2 linked regions of the Caenorhabditis elegans genome follow. The protein of the gene in region 1 interacts with the protein of each later gene in a pairwise test. Each region holds a gene or a part of one and is shown in the gene's direction. Other genes may lie near its edges.

Region 1 (3,924 bases):
CGTAAAACAACTCGGTACAATTACTATTCCAAAATTCTCTTCTCCCCCACGTTTTTTTTAAACTTCATCTGTTGCTCTGTTGACAATTATCCATATCATGTCACTAGGCCACATCCCCTTTCTTGATTTTCAATTTGTTTTTTTTTTCAATAATGCTCATCGTAGCTTAGTTGCCTGAACAGTCTTTCATTTGTCTTAAATTTGACTGATGGTGTCAGACAATTGAAGAAGTATCAATAAAGTTGAATCAACAGTAAAGGAAAGTCTCCAAGCTATTTGCCAAGGCCATAAATATCGCGTCCGCGATCGTGGGTCACGATGGCAGGTGTTGAGGGGGGAAAGACGCACATACACACATACAAACGCTAAATGGGTCCCCTCTCCTCAATTGCCGGTCAGAGGAGACAGCCAGGAAAGAAGGAAGACACAGACGAACACTCGCCGTTCTGTGTCTCTTCTCTCTACTCACGTTTGAATTGTTCACCGGCGGGAACGCTCATCATTCAAATTTGAAAAGCTATTTTATCTAATTTCTTAGCTTTTCAAGGTTTCAAACTAGTTTTTTCGTATGTAATTTTGTTCGTTATAAAATTGACCTCATCTGCAAGTGAGTCACTAGTAAAATTTACTTATCATTAAGGTGTGTTTATTTACGGACTATTGATTTTCCATAATTGGATTTCCGTCATCTGATCAAGGCCAGAAAAACTAGTAATCGAGAGTTGAAAACTTATTAGTCACGTTTCACTGGGTGTCTAGGTTAGGGAATGCGCTAAACAAGTAGTTCTGTAGAACGTTATCTGGCACAGTATTAATCACATATTATCTACAAGTAAAAAACATAATGGTTCCTTATCAGTAAGCCTAGACAATTAGATTATCATACAAAATTACTTATATTCCGTCTGCAAAGTTCTGCGTTTTTCCCAACCACTAAATCACCAAAAAATCTAAAACTTTCGGCCATATTTTTCATTGAAACCATCTGGCAGTGAGTCGAATGTTATAAGTTCAGTCTTTTTTTTTCTATTTTTTCTGTCTCTAAGAATGTAAACTCTAGATGTTGTCAGTAAAGATTTTATGGTTTCGATTTGTAACCTAAATATTACGCAACCACCTATCGACACCGACAAACGGAGTAGCGGTTGTTCGCACCATAAATTTTGTCAACTACTCCTTGTAACTTCCTTTCCTTCACCTTCACTTGTATTTGATCTCATAAACTTGCGGGTCATTTGCTATTTAGTTCTGCCTTACTACATGGATTTCTTTCGGAAATGGTTTTTTGTTCCGGATATTTTTTGTTTCATTAAAAGAGTACATTCGATTTTATAATATTTTTTAAAACTAGAAAACAATTTATTGTTCTGAATTTCAAAAAAAGCTATGATTTCCTGACTAAAATCTTGGGGCTTTTCGAAGTTTTCTCTTTTCCAACGGCTGGTAAATTTATTTAAAATTAATTTGGTTATCCATATTTTGCACTTTCTCGTAATTAATTCTTTTTTCTGTTAAAGGCCATACATTTTGATAAATTTAACTCAACTTTTTTTAAAGACGGTACTTTTCTATTAAGTTTTTTATAGCTAACTTCATTTGAAATCTACAAAATTGAAGTATTATAGTTCTTAGTGTTTTAGAATAAATTGTTTGTTTTTATTCTTTTTCGGAACAAGTAAAATTTCCTCATACATAAAATAGTGTTTCAGTCAATCAATAACATAAGATGGATTAGTTTCTATGCTGAGCCGTATAACCCTAGCCTAAAATGACACAACGTTTTCTCCTTCGTTGCCGTTTATGAATCATTTTTCTCTCTCAATTCTCCTTCTATTGCTGTTCCAATTAGTATAGTTTCACTCAGATGGAAAGTCAAAATCGAAGAATCAAGCTCAATCTACACAAATATAAAACGGCCGGAGTCCAGCAGTACAGCATTGACAAGATGTCAGACGAGGATGCAGACGAGTATGACGATCAATCATCGAGTAAGTTGCTTTGTTGCAAACCTGAATGCTCCAGATGTTTGCTATTGTTATTATGACTATATATCTGATTTTTTCCAGTATCGTCAGTGTCGGACGACGACGACTTCTCAGGCTCCGAGTCGGAAAGCTATCAGGACACGACTGAATCCACTGGACCTTCGGAAGCTACAACTGACGAGATGCTGTGGGGAAGGTGAGTTCTTTTAAATGTTTTCAAAAGTTGATATTAGATACTTTTGAAAAAATGTGCTGAAAATTATAAAACGTATTTTAAAATCACGAGAGAAAAGTTTCAAAAAACGTGACAAGTTTGCTATCCTAAAAATTTTCTCAAACGAATTTCGAATACGTTTCACAAATTTCCGCACAATTGGTTTCTGTCACTTTTCAGAACTATTTTATTTATTTTTCGCTTGATAGGTTTTTGCTTCATAGTTCAGTATACTGTTGCTTTGCCCGGATCCCAGTTCATATTTGGTCGTTCTCAGAAAGTGTATTTTTTGAGTAATTTTTTAATTTCCCTTTTAAATCTAAAATTCCTCGAAATCGAAAACTACCAAAACTAATAGACCATAGAAGATTCTTTTCAAATTTTCATCCTCTGAAATTTTTATTTAATTCATCAATTTTAAAAGTTGCATTAGTACAAGTTTGATTAGTCCAATTGCTGATTTTTTCCTAATGGGAGACAGTTCAATTAAATGCGCTCTATTGTACACCTCGGTTCAAACAAACGAGGCATGTATGTGTTGACCATGCACACTACATACTGGTTAGCCTCTGGTGTACGAACGAACGCATTGCCCCATCCCAGTCGGCTGCTCTGTTACGCTGACCGTAAAATACTAGAGTTAGAAAGGAAGAAAGAAAGGACAATAGTGATTTGACAATCCGAACATTCTCAATTATATCAAATCTGGTTCGAATGATCAAAAGAAGCAAAAATTAACAACATTGATTTTGTGAAGAATGTAGAAAGTACCCTTAGACACTTTTCTTCAAATATGCAAAAAAAAATTAAATTTTTGCGCCCAATAAGAACATTTATTTTCACATTTGAAATGACAGAAACGCGTAGTAGTATTTGAGTCGGTATCACTGACCTGATTCATCCACTTAAATGCCCATTTTCGTCGTCAAATGTTTGCTTAAAAATATCCGCGCCTTTTCAAGTGAATCAATTGAACTTCTCTCAAAGTTTTTCTTGTTTGGCGTGTATACAATGTCATGAACGCACAAGTTTTGGATTTCCGGCAATCGATCGATTGTTAAAGGCTACAATAGCATAGGTGATTATTAAACGAGTCCCTCTATAATTTCCACAAGATTTACGACAACCGTTCCGTTAATGTGACCAATCGAAGAAAACCAAAATATCCTGTATTTTCTGTAGACGTTTTATGATTTAGAGGTTTCTGTTTTAGTTTCTGTTCTTAACATTCTAATTGGTCACCGATATCTCTGTCATTTTCTGATACTATGAGTTTTGAATTTTTATACTAATAATTAAATGTTTCTAAAATTTCTCTTACAAAATTTTTACTTTGCCCATCCGACATTTCCCCAGTAATATGTATAGTTTTGAGTATGTTCGCATAATTGCAAATTACGTTGGATGTCGAGTTACCGTGGTTTGATTTTCAGTTGCGCAACGCCACGAATAGCCCTCTACCCCCGTGGCTGCTGGAACGTCAGGGGCACTAAAACTTGCGCAAAAACTTGTTGCGTATCACATTTGATGCTCTGCATTGATGTGTGTTATAATAATTTGTACATCATCATCACCAGATGACGCCTAGACTCGACGCTGCCTAGAGACTTCCAGGTTGATAAGCAAAACAGTGTTTTGTAGTGCTTAAAGTGAAAAACTACGTAACAATAATTCAGAATTTTGATAATCCGGCATATATATGTAACTTTAAAATGTTGTGAATAG
Region 2 (3,924 bases), on another chromosome or scaffold:
TATACTTAATCAGCAATTTTATAGTGAGTGGCGAAACTCGGAAATTGTCGGCCGTCGTGGATAGCTACCCCCAACCGGACGCATGTGCGTCCGGTTCGGACGACCGGACGTCCGGTTGTACAGCCCTAATTTTATATACTCAATTGTTAATCTGCATATTACCAAGAGACATGTTTTGCCCAAGTTCCTCTCACATTTAATCGATTCTCTTGTTTTTTCATTTCAATCTTTTTAGGGATCAAATGTGTTTTAGAGATGCAGGTGTCTAGAGAAAATTGTTTTCCTACTCTTTCATTTCGTATTCTTTTCATTTCACCAAACTTCTCTCTCGCGGCTAATCTCGCCTTCATAATAGAAATTTAGCTTCTAATTTTCGTGCTATACTAATATTCTACCACATGGTCACATCAAATGAGATAAAAACTGTCAACGCGCCAAAATGACACTCTCCCATTGATTTATTGCCCTTTGTCTCTGTGCGTCGACGCTCTAGTGCTCTTTCCAGATGTTGTTTCCTTCTCTTCTCAGCCTCCTTCTCTAGAATTCATTCATTCTGTGTCAAACACCAAAGAAGAACGACATTGTCTTCTCTCACACAAGACTGCTTATGATTTCTCGCTTCCTTCATCTGGCTCTGAATATGTCTTTCAATGGTACATGTTTATTGTTAATCGCCGAGTTTCAAAATTTACACTATCCATATAAAAAAGCGGCAAAACCTCAAAATTTCAGATGTTTGACCACTTCTCTAATACTCTCATCATGCCTCTCCATTATTCGTTCTATTTAACCCTGTACTGGCATGTTGCCAAGTTGTGTATATGTATGTTGTTTACCATATGCACACGTCTTTCCTGCTTCTCTACTTCTCTAGTCATTGGGACCGTGAGCATAAAAAACGAAAGAAAAACTTGAAAATAGTGCGCGAAACGGGAGAGATCAGAGATGAAGGGGTACGCAGCGCTCACTCGCGCGACTAAAGAGAGAGCATTGGCCTGGGCCATTGCCCTTCGAAACAAGATCGAGCGTTTTTCATCGTTTTTGAACCCTCGAAACTCCTACATATCACCTCTCATGCAACTTTTTTACACTAATTTGTGTAATTTGATATCCTATCTTATAGTTTATCAGGTCATTTCTCTTTTGTAGTAGTCCGAAAGTTTTGATTGATCGAATTTCGAAATTCTCCCTAAATTTTCGAAATTTTGTTACTTTCAAATTGACGCGACATGGACGGTCAATCAAAACCAAACAAGTATGCGAGAAATTCCCTTTTCTCTCTTTTTCTCTAATCATTTCAGTCCCATCTGCCTAGTTCTATCGGCAATTTGTGGAAGTGCGCAGATGATTTTTGAAGGCGAGGTGATAACGCCCTGCTAAAGCATTCTTATTCACGAGAGTTTCAAAAAACTATTGAAACGAGGTAAATCTTAGTTGAGTATACCTTGACAATTGTAGTTCTTTGCCGAGTTGCCTAATGTTTGAATTCAACGCTACTTACTGACTATGTTTATGCTTTTGTTTACGTCACTCTCACAAATGTTCCTTATTTCTCTACTATATTTCTTTCTGTTGAAACATTTAAAAAACGAAACAACACACATCTATGTGGAATACTGCCATCTGCCGATTTTGAGGTCACTTGGCGCGCCGTAACTCGCAAATAACCTAACAGCGCCAGATTTTTCGACAAACACACGCTTTCCGAAGTGGTATACACAACGGCCGTGTCCGCATGTTTGCCACACTTCTTTTGAGACAGAAAACTTTTGTTGTATAAAAATTTTATCACAAGAAATATCAAAATGTTGAGTCACGTTCGTGTGGCGCCTATGACGTTTCCTCTCTTCTCTTACATCTCTCTTTGTCTATTTCTGAAACTAAATCCAATATAATTAACTCTTCAGAAAGCAGCGAGAAAAATGTCATCTCGTAAAGGTACTCGTAGTTCTCGTATTGTTACGCTAGAGCGCTCAGCGAATTCGTCGCTAAGCAACAATGGAGGAGGCGACGATTCATTGTGAGTTTTTATTTTGCTTCTCTAGTTCCTGCACTCATAAACGCATTTCTTGTGTTATCTAAAAAAAAACTCGATGAAATGCTTTTCAGTGGCTCAACGCTTCTAGAAACTTCACGTCTTCAAGAGAAAGATCATTTGACTTCACTCAACAGTCGTCTTGCCACTTACATCGACGTGAGTTTTAATTTGGAAAGTATTCATATTTGAAAGTACACTTTTCAGAAAGTTCGTCAATTGGAGCAAGAGAACAACAGACTCCAGGTTCAAATTCGCGACATCGAAGTTGTTGAAAAGAAAGAGAAGTCAAACTTGGCCGATCGCTTCGAGGCGGAAAAGGTACACTTTGTTTATATTCTGATCGCCAAAGGTGTTCTGTGGGAAACTGATGCGGTGGTCTTATTATTCTCGCCGCGGTAAAGTAACAATGCAAATATAAGCTCTCGTTTTGGACGAATGATAAGTGTTGGAATATAGATTATTTGTATTTTCAGGCTCGTCTCCGTCGTGCCCTCGATTCGGCTCAAGATGAGCTCGCAAAATACAGGATCGAGTATGACGCTGCAAAGGTTGAAGTAAAGAAGTTGAAGCCACAAGTCGAAAAACTTGAGAGAGAACTCGCTGGAGCTGAGGAACAAGCCCTCCATGCCCAATCTATTGCTGATCAAAGTCAAGCAAAACAGAAGACGTTGCAGGCACGCAACGATAAATTGGTGGTGGAGAATGATGTAAGAAATTTTAATTTTATCAAAAGTAAATGTTCAATTTTGTTGTTTTCAGGATCTCAAAAAGCAGAACATCACTCTTCGTGACACCGTAGAAGGACTCAAGAAAGCCGTTGAAGATGAAACTCTTCTCCGAACAGCCGCCAACAATAAAATCAAGGCTCTGGAAGAAGATCTCGCTTTTGCTCTTCAACAGCACAAGGGAGAACTTGAAGAAGTTCGTCACAAGAGACAGGTCGACATGACAACCTACGCCAAGCAGATTAATGATGAGTATCAATCTAAGCTTCAAGATCAAATCGAAGAGATGCGTGCTCAGTTCAAGAACAATTTGCATCAAAACAAAACAGCTTTCGAAGATGCCTACAAAAACAAGCTCAATGCTGCTCGTGAACGCCAAGAGGAGGCTGTATCCGAAGCAATCCATCTTCGTGCCCGTGTTCGTGACTTGGAGACATCAAGCAGTGGAAATGCTTCGCTCATCGAACGTCTTCGTTCAGAGCTCGACACTCTGAAGAGATCGTTCCAAGAGAAGCTCGACGACAAGGATGCTCGAATTGCTGAACTTAATCAAGAGATCGAGCGCATGATGAGCGAGTTCCACGATCTTCTTGATGTTAAAATCCAATTGGACGCCGAACTCAAGACCTACCAAGCTCTCCTTGAGGGTGAGGAGGAGCGTCTCAATCTTACTCAGGAGGCGCCACAAAACACTTCAGTTCATCACGTCTCGTTTTCATCCGGAGGAGCAAGCGCTCAGCGCGGAGTGAAGCGTCGTCGCGTTGTCGATGTAAATGGAGAGGACCAAGACATTGATTATCTCAACCGTCGCTCCAAACTCAACAAAGAGACTGTTGGCCCAGTTGGAATCGACGAGGTTGATGAGGAAGGAAAGTGGGTCCGTGTTGCAAACAACTCTGAAGAAGAACAATCCATCGGAGGATACAAGTTGGTGGTCAAAGCTGGAAACAAAGAAGCCTCCTTCCAATTTTCATCTCGTATGAAGCTCGCTCCACATGCTAGCGCCACCGTTTGGTCTGCGGATGCTGGTGCCGTTCACCACCCACCAGAAGTCTACGTTATGAAGAAGCAACAGGTTGGTCAATTATTTTAAAATATTTCTGTCTTACTTTCATGAATAGAAGAAACAAAAAATGTTCATTGTAATTACAATTTTCAGTG

What was found.
Region 2: the proteins of rgs-7 (region 1) and lmn-1 interact in a two-hybrid assay, tested with the Caenorhabditis elegans proteins (2 studies listed by BioGRID).

What each region holds. Positions count from the first base shown.
Region 1 is NC_003284.9:3,540,686-3,544,609, forward strand, and holds the start of rgs-7 (C2 domain-containing protein), read left to right. Parts: upstream 1-1,862; 5' UTR 1,863-1,945; coding exon 1,946-1,988; intron 1,989-2,066; coding exon 2,067-2,181; intron 2,182-3,924. UniProt on the Caenorhabditis elegans protein: Inhibits signal transduction by increasing the GTPase activity of G protein alpha subunit egl-30 (G-alpha(q)), thereby driving it into its inactive GDP-bound form.
Region 2 is NC_003279.8:8,761,134-8,765,057, forward strand, and holds the start of lmn-1 (Lamin-1), read left to right. Parts: upstream 1-1,907; 5' UTR 1,908-1,922; coding exon 1,923-2,020; intron 2,021-2,109; coding exon 2,110-2,194; intron 2,195-2,242; coding exon 2,243-2,356; intron 2,357-2,511; coding exon 2,512-2,745; intron 2,746-2,797; coding exon 2,798-3,838; intron 3,839-3,922; coding exon 3,923-3,924. UniProt on the Caenorhabditis elegans protein: Major component of the nuclear lamina, a fibrous layer on the nucleoplasmic side of the inner nuclear membrane. Provides a framework for the nuclear envelope and probably also interacts with chromatin.